2 linked regions of the Rhinolophus ferrumequinum genome follow. Each later gene encodes a partner of the first gene's protein in a complex. Links are inferred from orthologs where the notes say so. Each region holds a gene or a part of one and is shown in the gene's direction. Other genes may lie near its edges.

Region 1 (8,224 bases):
AACAATTTGCCTCAAAACTTAAGAGGCTTAAGATATCTTATCTCTCACAGATCTGTGGTTTGACTGGTCAACTCTTGCTTGGGGTCTTCCTTGGTGACGTTGAAATGGTAGTTGGGGATGGAATCATCTGAAGGCTCAACTAGGCTGGATGTCCAAGATGGCTTCTTCACTCCCATGTCTGGAGTCTCTCTGCAGGGATATCTGAAACAGCCAGAGTTGGCTGAGTATTTCTTTTTCTAAACAGCCTCTCCATGTGGTTAGCATGAAACAGCACATGATGGTCACAGGCTAGTAAAGACTTCAGAAATGGCAGCTGACTTCCACCAGAGTGAGCATTCCAAAAAGCATAGGTGGAAGCTGCAAGGCTCGTGATAGGTAACACTGGGTGTCACTTCTGCCCTATTCTACTGGTCAAAAATGAATCATAGGGCTAGTCCAGGACTCAAGGGAAGGAGACCACATAAGGGCCTGAATAACTCTTCATTGAAGGACCATCTTTAGAGACTAGCTACCAGAGAATTTGAGGATTCCACTGGGTTACTTATACCCCACCTAAGGGCAGAACCAGATTTCATATTGTTTGATGCATGCATATATTACACAATTTGGAGGGCTTTCTTTAAAAATGGAGGAGCCCATGCAATGAGAGGCCCTGAAGCTAGAGCTTCATTAACTTCAGTTAATCTGCCTCTGACCCCCCTTCCCAAATCAGCAGTGGTAAAGGAGCAAATGTGGCTTTGGGGGCCCACCTACACTTGTGTTCTAGGACAATTTCCAGACAAGGAGGAATTGTGAGCTTTCCCCACCCCTCACCAGAAGTGTCCAGTGTTCAGTTCAATATAATTAGATCATTTTTATGTCTAGAACCCAGGTCTCCTGACTTCCAACAGGGAATTTTCAAATATACCATGTTCCACAGTATTTTAAAATTTATTTGTATTTTTTACCAAAAAAACGTGGTACAAATTTCTTTTTTAAAATCTTACTATTCTTTCTATACTTTTCTCCTCTGGTTGCTCCTTAAATGTTGATGTCCTTCAAGGTTTCTTCTCATTCTATCCTATCTGCAGACGGCCTCTTTCACGTGATTCCATCCACTGCCATAATCAGGTACTCCTAATTATCTGTAGCCTCGGCTTCTCCAGTTCCAAACGTGTACTAGGCATGTCCCTCAGGAATGTCAAGATCTATGAGCCAAAACTTTATTCCTGATTGTGATGACAGGCATTATACAGCCATTTTCAAAAACATTTATTGAGCATTTGCCACATGCCAAGCACTGGAACTACAGTATTAAGTAACAGACAAGGTAGGTGCCTGCGCTCCAAACAGACTTAAATAAGTCGTCAAAGTCATTAGAGACTGTGATAAATGCTATGACAAAACAGGGATGAGATAGAGTAACTGGGAAAGGTCCCTTGCAAGAGGGAGATCAGGGAAGACCTTCCTGCAAAGATCACATATGAACTTTGATTTGAAGGAGGAAGAAAAGCCAATCATGCAAAGAGGTGTGGAAAGAGCACTGTAGGCAGAAAGTCCAAAAATAGGAAAAAGCTTAGTAGCCTTAGAGAGCCAGTAGCAATGAAGTTAATGAGAGAGAATGGCATAAGGGGGCTGGATGGAAGTAGGAGTTAGACTATGCAGGGCTTTATAGGCCACAGTAAGCAGCTGAATTTTACTGTAAAAATGATAAGCCACTAAAGGGATTTCAACTGGGAGGAAGGGGTGTTACAATTTGGTTTACATTGTTAAATAAGCAAATTGCCTGGTGTGTAGTGAGTGAATGGACTGCGGAGGGGGAAGAGTGGAAGAAAACCAATTGGGAGGTTATTATAGTGGAAGAGTCTAGAGAAAGCTTGGATTAAGGTGGTACCAATATGGAGGTAATTAAAAGGATTCAAGATTAATATTGAAAGTAAATCACAGGGTTTGGTGATGGATTGAATTTAGGAGGTGAGCGAGAGGAAGAAAGCAAGGATAACTCCCAGGTTTTTTTGTAAAGATTTTTATTGGGGAAGGGAACAGGACTTTATTGGGGAACAGTGTGTACTGCCAGGACTTTTTTTTTCCAAGTCAAGTTGTCCTTTCAATCTTAGTTGTGGAGGGTGCCATTCAGCTTCAAGTTGTTGTCCTTTCAGTTTTAATTGCGGAGGGCGCAGCTCAGCTCAAGGCGCAGCTCAGCTCAAGGTGCCGTGTTCAATCTTAGTTGCAGGGGGTGGAGGCCACCATCCCTTGCGGGACTCGAGGAACTGAACTGGCAACCTTGTGGTTGAGAGCCCACTGGCCCATGTGGGAATCGAACCTGCAGCCTTCGGAGTTAGGAGCACAGAGCTCTAACCGCTTGAGCCACCGAACCGGCCCTAACTCCCAGGTTTTTGATAAGAGCACCTATAGATAGGTGTCACTACCACCCAATCTCTTTTTCCCCACCCATTCCATATCCAATCAGTCACTGTTTAGTCAGGGTTATCCAGAGAAACAGGATCATTGGGATGTGTGTATATTTAGAGATTTATTTTAAGGAATGGCTCACCAGATGGTGGGAGCTGGCTAGTCCAAAATTCTGCAGGGCAGGCCGGCATGCTGGGGGTGACTGTGATGACAGGCACAGGGAAGAGCTGATGTTGCAGAGCCCAAGGGCAGTCTACAGCCAGAATTCCTTTTTCCTCAGTGTTCTTAAGGTTGATGGGATGAGACCCATCCACATAATGGAGGGTAATCTGCTTTGCTTTCAAAATCTACTGATTTAAATGTTAATAACATATGACAGGGGCCGGCCCGGTGGCTCATGCGGTTGGAGCTCCGTGCTCCTAACTCCGAAGGCTGCCAGTTTGATTCCCACATGGGCCAGTGGGCTCTCAACCACAAGGTTGCCGGTTCAACTCCTTGAATCCCGCAAGGGATGGTGGGCTCTGCCCCCTGCAACTAAGATTGAACATGGCACCTTGAGCTGAGCTGTCACTGAGCTCCTGGATGGCTTGGTTGGAGCGCATCCTCTCAACCACAAGGTTGCCGGTTGGACTCCTGCAAGGGTTGGTGGGCTGCGCCCCCTGTAACTAACAGGCAACTGGACCTGGAGCTGAGCTGCGCCCTCCACAACTAAGACTGAAAGGACAACAACTTGACTTGGAAAAAAGTCCTGGAAGTACACACTGTTCCCCAATAAAGTCCTGTTCCCCTTCCCCAATAGAATCTTAAAAAAAAAAAAATATATATATATATATGTATATATATATATATATAAAATAACATACGACAAATATATATAATACAGCAAAAACTAATGTGTGACCAAAAGCAGTACCATGGCCTACCTAAGTTGATACAAAATTAACCATCAGTCACTAAATTCTGTTGATTTTGACCCTTAAATATTTCTCAATTGGTTCCTTCCTCTCTGTTACCATTGCCTGATTTGAGGCTTGTGTTCTTCTCATTTAATTAAAAAAATATTAATTTATATATTAGACACTGTCAAATGCTGGAGATAACACTGAATAAAAGATTGTGCTCTAGGGACCTTACATTTCTTACGTTTCAGGGTTTCCCTGCCTTCTGTCTTGCCTCCTTCCAATTCATCTTTACAAATGGATGTCTGTGTATCACTGCCTCTCACACTTTAATATGCAGAATCATCTGAGGATCTTGTTAGAAGGCAGATTCTGATTCATTAGGTCTGGGATGGGTCCTGAGAGTCTGCATTTCTAACAAGCTCCCCAGGTGTTGCTGCTGGATTGGGAACAAACTTTGAGTAACTGAGCTGTAGAATGTCTCTTAAAAGACCATCTTTATAAAAATGTGTATTTGTAGACTCTCTGAAAGAGATGAAGAAATGGGGAAAATGGTTACCAGTAGAAATAGAATGGCTGATCATTGTATAAACCCTTTTATAAACAATGTCGTACCAAGTTAAGTGTATTACATATTTGAAAACAAATTAAGAAAACAACTAAAAATATCAAACTATTCATCTCAAAAACCTTGCAGTGTAGCCCACTGACCCACATGGCAGAATGCAGCTTAACCTATCTGCAGCCCTTTATTATAATCAGTTTACCTGTTCAGTTTATCTTCAATTTCGCCACTCAGGTCAGGGACCACTTCCGTTCTTTGCGGGAAATGCTCTGGAGCAATTTCACTTGGTCTTTCAAACTCGTTTTCGCAGCGTTTACCTCGGGAAGCCTTTCACGCATCCTCCCGCTCCCCTCCCCCCGCCCCGCCGTTAAAGTTACATTTTTACATTTAACCTCACAATGCTTCCTTTTGTTGCAGTCATCACACTGTGTCGAAGTTTATTTACACGTCTACCTTGGCTGCTTGATGGTGCATTCCATGGGGACAAGACTAGAGTTTATGCCTAGCGCAAACCGAGTTCCGAAGTTGTTCTGCGAAAGAATGAATCATGTACTGGCCTGAAGAGGCTCACAGGGAAAATCCTCGAGCACTGGGGCTCTCTTCGATTCCTTCGTGACTACCTCGAGGCAAACGTGCAGAGAGCTGAATCTGAGCACCCAGCCTGGGAAGGTTGCCAGGAAAGCCGCCTTCTCCACTCGCCCGTCTCGGGAGCACCACAAACGCCAGCTTCCAGAGGGATGTCCCCTCCCCCTGAGCACGACTGCACCCTCCGGGAGTCGGCGAGGCGCGTCCACCTCCCCTACAGGCGCGCATGGCTTTCGGAGCCTGATTCCGAGCGTGGCGTGGAAAGGCTGGAAGTCTCCTTGACATCCGTCAGCAGCCACCGGCGGCGATCAAAGTGACGGATCGGTTGGGGCGTGGCAGTGGTAGGCAGGAGGTGTGGCGAGGACAGGCCAGGGCCAAGCACCTAGGCAAGGGACCGTCGTAACTTCCCCACACTTACGTTTCCTTACCGGGGCTCAGAGTGGCGTGGCCATCTGCTGGCCGCTTCGTCTCTCTCCGCCCCAGTAGTCTACAGGACTGTCCGGCGTCGCGGGCACTGGACGCTGGGCCACGCCCTCCCACGCGACCCCGGCTCCAAAGGCCACGTCCCACGCCCCATTCCCGCCCGCGCGCGCGTCACCGCCGCCGCCGGCGCCGCCGCCAGAGGGGCGGGGCCTGGGCTCCGGCGTAGAGTCAGCCACGGTCCCAGCCTGCCCCGCGCGGCCAACGAGAGCAAATCCAGTGACTCACCGCCGCCGCGCTAAGTCCTCGCTGGCTCTCCGCTCACACACGCTCACACCCGGCTCGAGATGGCGGCGGCAGCAGCAGCGGCAGCGGCGGGGGACTCCGACTCCTGGGGTGAGGAGAAGTTCCGGGGGAAGAGCCCGGGCCGGCGCTGGCCGCACGCCGAGGCAGGCACTAACGTGGCTCACTCTCTTCCGTAGACGCGGACACGTTCGCCGTGGAAGACCCGGTGCGAAAGGTGGGGGCCGGCGGGGGCACCCCCGGCGGAGACCGCTGGGAAGGCGAGGACGAGGACGAGGACGTCAAGGTGGGTGCAGGCTGGGGTTCCGAGCAGCGCCGGAGCGGGCTGACGCCGTCTGGGGCGGGGTTGGTCGCCGAAAGGCGGGCGGGTGGACTCTGGGCCCAGGGGCGCCGCCCGGGCCTGCGGGCCGTGAGTCCAGGCACGAGCTTCGAGCCCAGCGGTGTCCTGCTTCCCCTCCGCTCGCGGGCCATATGGGCCGGAGACGGGTAGTGTGGCCTTCCGGATTTCCTTGGCGAGGGCGGCAGCGGTGGCCCCGGCGTTTCTTTAAAAAAGGTCGACGCCCCGGCCTGGATCCCACCCGCCAACTGGCGACGGGAAGGTGACAGCAGCGGCTGGGCCAGCCCACGTGCAAACTTCGCAGTCTGGGGACTGCTCGCCGAGGTGAGACCGGGAAGTTGGGTATTGAGCCTCCATGGCTGCCATATGGAAAAATCTTACAACCCACCGGCCTTTTTGAGCTGAGGTCTCCCCAGGGCTGAAAATTCATTTATGTCTCCGAAGGCCCGTTTGTACAGTTTGAACAAGTAGATGAGTGAAATATTATGGCTTAATTTTAACCTTTTTCCGCACGAGAAATAGAAGCAGTAAAGTGAAATAACTTTTAGCCTCCTTCCCGATACACTGGTAAAAGGATGAACTGAGTACTGAATAGCCAGAAGTTATTGGTCAGAAACCTGGGTAGTCCACACAGCAACCCTGAAAAATGCAGAGTTGACAGAGTGACTTATTAATTTACACACGAATGACGCCTAAGGAGATAGCAAGGTGGTAAGAGTAGAGAGGGGACCAGGTTTTTTTTGTTTGTTTTTCTATGCCTTGTAGATTGTTTTTGAAAATTCCTGCGGGGCTGATCATATGGCTTCAGATGAGATTATGACTGCTGCATTTTTTAATAGTTTCAAAAGTCTCAAGCTCAGAATGTTAAGACTCTTATTAACAGAATTCTCAAAATCGTTTCATTTTGTACAGATAAAAGTTTTGTATGAATTAGAAAATGGTATTTTGTGGTTTTGATTCATTTAGTGAATATTTTACTTTCTTCTACCTTTCAGCATATACTCAGAACCCTACAAGTCCTTCTGCTTGGTTTGAAAAAGTTTAAGCTAGATAATCACTGTTAATAATACTGCTTTTGTTTGGATTTTACCCTTTTTTCCTGTGTCTGCTGAGGTGAATGTCCAATTTATCGAACAGCCTGAGGTTCAGGAATGATGGGAGCTTTGCACACACTGGGTTAATAAATGAGTAGGACTATTGTGAAGCTACTTCTATTCAGATGTAGTGTAGACTTGGGAATGGATTGTGTTAACAGCGTCATTGCAAGATACTAGTTACCTCTACATTGTAGGGGATTTTGTGTTGAGTCTTTAGTTCAGAGTTGTCCTTTCGCTTTTTCTATGCATACTGGATGCGGCAGTTAAGACATCCATTATGAAAACTGGGAATAAGTTAACAAATGAAAAGAAAAGATTAGAGAAATGGATGGATGGGGGCGGGAAGTGCCAGAAAATGAAGTTTGAATGGAGTTGTCTGCACTGATATTATAAAGTAGACTGTCTGAGATTATTGAACCTAAATTGTGTCAATCCTGATAGATAATAATTCTGACCATTTGGAACTAATTTTGGTGATTTACAAGTTGTAAGGGACCATGAAGTTCGTCTTGTCCAGTCACTCTTTCAGGCACAATTTCTTTTATACAAATAGCTGCTTTTACATAAACTTTGAAGTTGATCTTGGAGAAGAAAGCTAAACTTGTTCATTTTATTTCTGAGTTGAAATTTTGATTTATTTCTGTTGAGTTTCTCCAAAATTCCCAAGATATGGTATCCATGTAGTAGTTTGATTCTTGGGCTCTGGAATCAGACAGACTTGGCTTTATATTGTTGGCTCGACATTTTCTATATTTGTGGTCATAAACAAGTTTTCTAATCTTTCTGTTCTAGTTCCCCAGTCTGTAAATGCCATCATTATAGGAGCTATCTCAGGGATAATTTACATTTTATTATGTGGAGCATTAAGCAGAGTTGCCTGGGACTTGGTAGCCACTCAAATGTTAATTCTCTTTTACTTCAAGATGTCTTAATTTTTCTGGCTAATGGAAAGTATGCTTAGGTGTTTAGATTTAGTATGTGGGGTTTATTTTGTGCCATATTTTGTGGTTTCCTAAGCTCAGAAGGAGTAAGTAAGTTCTCTCCACGGTAGCTGTTTACTGTGAAGTTTGTGTTCTGAATAGAATGGCCATGTTTATCTAGCAAGTTTTTGATTGCTCAGAGGTTACCAATCTAGAGTTAAATTTTTGTCACCTTGGACAGTAGTAATACCGAATTTCTTATTTCTAATGTTTTAGTACCTAATTCTTTGGTAAAGAGATGCACACAATGCTTAGTTTCCATGAGATCGAATAATCATAGTCTTTAATGCAATATGTGAATTTTTAAAAATTCTTCAAAAGATATGTAGAACAGTAAGTTCTTCAGTTTATGTCAGTATCTAGTGTTTAACTTTAAAGAATATAGATTTAATGTCATTTGTAGCATCCTAAGAAATGAAAAGAAAATTGAGGTCTTTGTTACAGTAATTTGCTCCAGTAGTTACTATCTTTCAGTAGACATTATAGCATTTTGCTGCCTGGACTATTCAAAAAGCTGGCAGTGGCGGAAGTGGATTTAGGTAAAAATGTAGAATTGTTAATATTCATGGCGTGGGGGTAAAGCCTATGCTTCTTCCCAGTTACAAAGGTGAAAGCTAGGGAGTGTGCTTTGCTGCCACTTTGGCTTT
Region 2 (7,899 bases), on another chromosome or scaffold:
GGAAGGGGGTGGACCAGAAAACTACTGTATTTGGAGCATAAGCTTTTTAATGCTAATTGGCTTTTTAAACTATGAGCATGTGTCACTTGATAAAATAAAAATTAACAATGAAAGGATAGAAGGTAAAGAAATGGAGTTAACACATATTGATGCAAAAAGAAAAAAAACACATGTATAGACAAATATTTCAAGAAGTTTGGCAACAAAAGGAATTGGTGATTTTGAGGTGATGAGGAATTAAGTCACGGTTTTGTTTGTTTTTCACATGGGAGAGGGTGGCAAATGCTGACCAAAAATATGAAAAATCCAACAGAAAGGTCAAGTTAGAAACGCTAGTGGGAGAGAGAAGTACTAGAGGAGACGATTGAGAGTGTGGATTGGGATAGAGTTCAAAGCCTTTGGCAGGAGGATGGAGGGAACATCCTCCATTCATGCCCGAGGAAAGTGAGAGACATTGTTTGGCAGAGCAAGGTCGATGTATTGGGTTTGTGGTCAGAAGATGGGGACAATCGTGTCTGGCGGTCCCTATATTCTGCACAAAGGATGAGAAAGAGCATCCCTTAAGGGTGGAGGACTGGCTTAGGCAGGCTGTGAGGTGGCTGTCTCCCAGGTACCTCTCCTCCCACTCCAGGGCTCCAGTGCCCGTTGCTCAGCAGGTTCTCCCAGAGTCCAGGAAAACAGGCAGGAATGGGATTGGTCTGTCCCAGAGCCTTAACCAAACTATGGCTAGAGACAGAAGCAAGACAGCAAAGAACCAAGCCCAAGGGACCAAGATGGGAAAATGGAGTGAGACACAGCCACATAGACCATGTGACAGAAGAAACGAGTAAAGCCACTTACTGTGAAGACTCTCAGGTCTGCCTCCCCTAGAAGCCTCCCAGTCTGGAGATCGCAGGGCCAGGGACTGAGAGTCACACCTAAAGGAAGTAGAAATGATATGCAAAATAACCAATTTTAATTGGAGGCTAGAGGCAGGAAATGAAATGAAGCCTCCCTCCCTGTTAACCCTGGTCTGGCTGTGGGCAGAACTGACAACTGGTATAACAGTCCCAAAAAGGGAAGAGGTGGAGACAAAAGAAACAGAGACCAAGGATGGAAACTGTCAGCTAAGATATACAAAGAGGCACAAGAGAGAAATGAGCGGACAAAACAGTCAGAGAGAGAAACAGACAGACAGATGAAGCTAGCTGATGGGTATGGGTCTCTCTCTCTGTGTCTCTCTCTCTCTCTCTCTCTCTCTCTCTCTCTCTCTCTCTCTCTCACACACACACACACACACACACACACACACACACACCTCAAACACACACACACATTTATGCACTCCATAAATAGGGTTCTGCCTGCCTGGATCCCTCAGCATCCTGGATGTACGAGTATGCATTCCCTTGTCCTGGCCAATCAGCATCCCCAGGAAGACAATGCCAATGATCACCCTCCTTCTGCCCCTGAGCTATGTGGCTGGAGGAAAATACAAAAGCTGACCAGATCCTTGAGGTCTCCAGGCTCAGCTGGGCCCTCCCATAATTGTTCAATGCCTTTGATGGCTCACTCTCGGCCCTTCTTCCAAATACTGCCCTTTGCTCCAAGGCTGAACCCGATCTATCTATCCATTGCCATTCTCAGCAGATCACTTTGCCTCCGCTTCCCTGAGAAAAAATAAACATCATTTGACAAGAGCTCCTGCAACTCCCTTCTCTTTCCAATTCAAAGTGTCTCCGATTCTTCATCCATCGTTTTTTTCCTTTCCTACCAGAGAGAAAGGTCTTTAGACCATCGATACAAAGGCAAAGTTCAGGGTGGTGAAGAGTCCACACCCAACTCAAATCAACATACGAATGGGAAGTACCAAGGTTGTGCGTGGTCAGGTCGAGACAGCAACACCTCTTCATTGGGGATGGTGCTCTCCTCTGAATTTCTCCCCATGGAATGATCTCGGCACCACCCTGGGCTACGGCAGACCCCCATATGGCACCCATAAAGGAGGCCATATCCCGGAGTCTCTCTCCAACATATCCCTCGTCCTGCCCAAGACCATTTCTCTCATCTAGGCTTCTCCATTTGGGTCCCACTTCCTGCTTTGTTTCATTAGATAGCTTCCCTTGCTCACACTTGTATATTCAATCTTTCTCCCTTCTTGAGATTCTTACTCTTCGTTTAAAATATACTTAAAACTCTTCCAGCCTAAACTGTCCCCCTTTCCACAGCTACTGCCTTAAATGTCTCTTTTCCTTCCCAGCAACTTCCTTGAGAGAGTAGCCAGCACTTACTGCCATCAATTCAAATTGACCATTCTCTCACACCTGAATTCCAGTTTCCAAGCGCACCCCACCTTCAGTTTCACTGACAGTGCTCTACTAGGGTTGCTAAAAATCGAGGTCATCAAATCCAAGAGTCATTTTTCAATCCTCCTCTGATAAGCTGTTCACCTGTGTTTGAGGGAACTAAGAATATGTATGTTTACCCAGAGCACTGACGGGAGTAGGATTACGTGAATTTTAATTATAGAAGGTAGCTCCAAGGAGAAAGCAGTTCTTGGGCATAAGAGTTGGGGCTAAGAAGCCCAAAATCCCCCATCCACCTTGACAGCTGGACGCTGGGACTTAACCTAATTAAGGGAGTTGATAGGTTTCCTGACAGGCAGCTATTATCAACCCCGTTAGACCAAACAGGAAACGGAGACTCAGAAAAAATTATAGATTGCCCAGAGTTACACTGTAAGTTAGGATCAGAGTTCCTTCCATCACATAGCAACAATAATAGCTACCAAATAATAATAATAATAATAATAATAATAATAATAATAATAATAATAATACATCTCAATGGTGATACATCCAAAAATGAACTTGGCATAGAGGAAAAACTGAGGGTTGCTAGATGGGAGGGAAGGTAGGGATAAAGCGGAAGGTGAGGGGATTAGAGAGCACAGTCGGTAACCACAAGATGGCCACAGGGATACGAAAGTCAATTTGGGGAATGTAATCAATAATGTAAAGATTTTGTAGGGTATCTGATGGATACTTGTCTCGTTACACCTCAGGGATGATATAGATGCCTGATCACTGCACTATACACCTGAAGCGGAACAATAATGTCAACTACAATTTTATATATGTGTGTGTGTGTGTGTGTGTGTGTGTGTGTGTGTGTGTGTGTGTGTGTATACATATATATAGTTACAAGAAGTGGAGTACCGCATTAGGAATAGAGACAGTGGAAATGTAATGGCTGTGTACGATGTCAGAGGGGTAGTGGGTGGGGCGATAGGGGTTGACACTGTGTGAGGGATATAAATGATAAATGTCTATTACATTGTTTTGTGCACCTGAAACTAATAAAACAAAAGTTTAAGAAAAAAATGAACTTGGGATCTTTTCCCAAAAACTTGCTGCACTTGTAGCTTTCACTGTCTCGATTATTGACAACTTCTTCATACTAGTTGCTCAGCACAAAAAATTGGAGTCATCCTTGACTTTCTCTTTCACACCTCGCATACAATTTCTCAGAAAATCCTGTTGTCTCTACCTTTAAAATATACCTGTAGGGGGTGGCCGATTAGCTCAGTTGGTTGGAGCGGTGTTGGTACTAGCACCAAGGTTGCCGGTTCAATCCCCACATGGGCCACTGTGAGCTGCGCCCTCCTTACAAAAAAAAAAAATATATATATACCTGTAATCTGCCCACTTCTCACCACTTGCACTGCTACTGGTTTGGTGCCAACCACCGTCATCTCTCTTAGATTTGGTAATCTCATACCATGTCCCTCTGCTCTTTCTCGTCTGCCTCTCCCCAGTAACCGAGCCCCCTATTGTATTTTTCTCAAAGCAGCTATAGTGATCCTTTTAAAACTAAGACAAATCATGACCCTCCCCTGCTCAAAACTTGGCAATGGTTCCCCATTTCTTTCAAACTAAAAATGAAAGTCCTTACCCATACTGTGCCCTAGGAGGTCTTTAATGATCTCTAATCCCTGTTTAGGGGTCCATCTCCTGCTGCTCCAGGCCGATCTTAACTCTCCAGCTGCCAAATAGCCTCTTCAAACACAACAGGCCTACTCCTGCCTTCAGGGCTTTGCACTAGCTGTTCCCTCTACCTGGAAGCTCTTTTCCCCTCACACTTCATAATGGCCACCTCATTCGCCTTTTTCAAGTACACTCAAATCTCACACTGTCATTGTGATCCACCCTAATTCCTCACAACTCCTCATTACCCATTACTCTCCGCTACTTTTTCCTTTTTCTTAGAACTTCCTACCTTCTAACATATATAATGTACTTATTTGTCTCTCCCCGCTACAATGTAAACTTTTCAAGGACAACGATTTTTGTTTTGTTTACTAATATATTCCTTTAAAAAGCCTCTGGCACATATTTTATTTAATGAATAAACCACCTTAGGACCCTGTCAAGGACAAAGCCCTTTATAATAAGGCACCGTGACAGCCATTATCCCATTGAAGTCTGAAAACACGATTTGCGACACTTGTGCAGCGTTCTGGCTCCATCTGGCGACAACTATGCAGACGGAGCTGCTTCTCTTCTCCCAGTGCGGTCCCAAGTTTCTTCGGAACTATTTAGCTCGGTCTCACTGAATGCGCGTCGACCTAGATCGAAGAGCACAAACTCGGAGCCGGAAATTGTAGTGCCGTGAGAAGCATCATCAGTAACCAATAGGCACAAAGACCTTGTTCACGTGGTGCATATTCAGCCTATGGTGCTCCTAATGTTTCCAAGCTTACTCTTTTCCGCTCCAGGCTCCTTCTCTCTGGACAAGATGGCCACACCGGCGGTACCGGCGAGTGCTGCTCCCACCACTCCGACCCCAGCCATGGCTGCTGCCCCAGCCTCAGCCCCAGCCCCGGCCCCAGCCTCAGCTCCAGCGCCGGCGCCGGCTCCAGTGCCGGTTCCAGCTCCAACTCCAGCTCCATCCTCATCCCCAGACCCGGCGGCAGCAGCGGCTGCGACCGCGGCCCCGGGCCAGACCCAGGCTTCACTGCCAGCAGCAGCGCAGACCCCGGCGCAGTCGCTGGCTAGTCCTGCTCTACCCGGCCCCTTCCCCGGCGGCCGTGTGGTCCGACTGCACCCTGTCATTTTGGCCTCTATCGTGGACAGCTACGAGCGACGCAACGAGGGTGCTGCCCGAGTTATCGGGACCCTGCTGGGTGAGTAAGTGGTCAGAGAAAATTGACGTTTTCTTCTACCTCCCACCTCTCCTTTATCTGACTCCCCTTTCTTCACATCCGCGTTGATCTCTTACCTGTTTCTCCATTGGACCGTCCTGTTGGGACTCATCTTCCCAAAGAACTTGAACTTTCTTGCCTGATTGCTGTCACTTTGTGCAACATAATGTATATGAAGAGTAGTTCTGTATTAAGTAAATATCGTGTACCGAGCCATTTACATTTTAATCTTCCCAGTAGCATTTCACGTCAAGTATGATCAGCCCCAGTCTACCAAAAGTGAGTTCCAATGCTAAGTAAGGCAAAAACCCTTGACTCCCCAGTGACCACGTTTTTTCCCGCTTATCTACTAAATGTCTTTATTTTCTAGGTGTTTGCAAAGAAGTTTCTAACCAGTTGGCAAAGGGAGCATCTGTTAAGAGATATCCCTCTCAGCAAGTAAACCGATTTGGCAGGAACCCATTTAGAATTTCAGTAATAATCTGATTAACTAAGTGTGTAAGCCTGAACCCCTGTCCCTTCCTCTCCCTAATTCGTAGATGCTGTTCCCCCAGAGCTGTCTCTGATTCTCCATTTGGATACAAACAATTGTATTATGTTTATGATACTGCTTAACCTTCAAATCAAAGAATAACCTTTCCCTACCCATGTCCCAAATTTGGGGAAATAGATATTTTATGTTAAAAGTAATTTGTAAATCCAAGACGCACTAAAGAGGAATTACTGGTAATTTATCCCTTTTTCTGGATTCTGCTGGTCTCATCAAATTCATTTTCACTCCATCTAAGTCACAAATTTTAGACCCCTTTGTGCATCCACTCCAATTGTATGCATCATTTCTCTTTCTTACTCTTGAACATGTAATAGTCCTTCTACCATAGAAAACAATAGGTGTATTACAAAGAGGACACAATTTGAGGCAGATTCCATCAAATATATGCCTTGTGCCTTGGGACAAATAACCTAAAGTCTACTTCCTTCAGGGGCTACTTTAGACTTAGTCTTTGTGAAAACTTACTACAGAAAGCATCTAACTGCTGGCACACATTAGGTATGAAACTGTGGGCACACATTAGGTACGAAACGGCTGTTGGTTGCCAACCTGCACCATGTCAGGCCTATACCACCCCTGAAACACACACACATTCTCTTTTTATTTGAGAAAGTAGCATTTTGCAGAAACTTTAATCAATCCATTATTTTCCGAACATTGCCATGGTTTTTCTCAAGCGTTTGTATTTTCTTTGCCACAAGTGCCTTCCCTGCTCTCACTTGTCCGTTCAAGTTCCACTCATCTTCCAGGAAAAGTGTTCAGTATTGGTCCTACGTCCCATACTCTCACCCTCACCCTCATTCTTAACTTCCCAAAGTATGGTAGCATTCTGTGACTGTCCTGCTTTGAGCTTCTGTAATAAATGATTTTTGCATCACTGACTTGGCACTCGACAAATACTTACTCTCTTTCAGCTACACTGTCAAATTTCCCAAACTCACTGGTGCTATTTAACTAAAGAAACAATTCTCCACCCAAGGTTTGTGCTAAGTGCCCTAAATGGTACAATGACTCTAGTTAGAATAACTGTAATCTAGATCTTCAGATTCTCTTCCAAACAGGGGTCAGGTATGACAGCGGCAGTGCTTACTGAAGAATGAATCATGGATTCTGCTTGCTAGGAACTTACACATTTTCTCAGTTAGACATTAATTCATGAAAAATATTTCATTTGGTTAAATGAAGTCACTGGTGCTTTATGTACTATAAAATCGTTAGGTACTAGAATTCAAAGTTTGATCAAACGAGCTCTAGTCTAACCCTAAATTGAAGCTGAAGATACACTCTTGTATGCAGGTAATTAGAATATAATAGGATAAATGCTCTAATAGAAGGATGTCATAGTGGCATGGAAAATATAGAAGACTTAACTATTTCAGAAGCTTGAAGTGGTCAAGTCTTTCGGATGCTGCTGAGAGGTCAAATAAGATAAAGACTATGTATCCACTGGGTTCGAGGACATAGTTTCAGCAAAGGAGGCAGAAACCATAGTAAGGTGGAACTAGACACTAACGGGTATAGGCACCATTGTGGTCTGTGGTGAGGAGGGAAGCACTTGAAGCCTGGGATGGGAGATGTCAGTACATTAGAGAAAAGTAGAGAAGTCAAGGGACTAGCCGTCTTAGGTCCAGAAACACATGTGGGCAGTGGGAATAAAGTTACCAGAACTAGAATAGAAGTTTGTGGTAAAAGACTCACATCGATGAAGTTTCACAGGTAGAGGGTTCCTGGATGATGATATGGTTATGACCATGGAACCAGATGGCTGACGGGAGGTACAGGTGACGCTCTCTAAACGGTTCTCTGACTAGGCTCCTAGAGGAGTGGTCTATGTAGACATAATTAAAATCTTCCAGGTAGCCCTGCAGACTAAATTACAAGGAGAGAGTGTAGAGGCTGGAAAAATGACGGTCACAGTGTCAAGGTCTGGAGTAGACTGATAGCAGGAAGTAACAGGCGAAAGGAGACCTTGTGAAGGGAGAATAGGCCCCGCGTGATGGTTAAAGGAAGGCATTGGCGGTCACTCCAGGGCTTTAGTTCTCTGGAGAATCCTGGTGCCACTGATGCACATGACTGAACTGGGAGCTAATGAGTTCAGTGTTTTGTTCATTGACTTGGAGGAGACCTGAAAATCTGAAAGCGTTTGGAAAGTGGTCAGAGGCTG

What was found.
Region 2: EIF3J (region 1) and EIF3F share a complex: the UniProt entries of both Homo sapiens proteins name them as parts of the eukaryotic translation initiation factor 3 (eIF-3) complex. The link is inferred for Rhinolophus ferrumequinum from reciprocal best matches to the Homo sapiens genes EIF3J and EIF3F.

What each region holds. Positions count from the first base shown.
Region 1 is NC_046289.1:61,567,939-61,576,162, reverse strand, and holds the start of EIF3J (eukaryotic translation initiation factor 3 subunit J), read left to right. Parts: upstream 1-5,114; 5' UTR 5,115-5,207; coding exon 5,208-5,256; intron 5,257-5,342; coding exon 5,343-5,449; intron 5,450-8,224. UniProt on the Homo sapiens protein: Component of the eukaryotic translation initiation factor 3 (eIF-3) complex, which is required for several steps in the initiation of protein synthesis.
Region 2 is NC_046294.1:43,957,943-43,965,841, reverse strand, and holds the start of EIF3F (eukaryotic translation initiation factor 3 subunit F), read left to right. Parts: upstream 1-4,756; 5' UTR 4,757-4,776; coding exon 4,777-5,164; intron 5,165-7,899. UniProt on the Homo sapiens protein: Component of the eukaryotic translation initiation factor 3 (eIF-3) complex, which is required for several steps in the initiation of protein synthesis.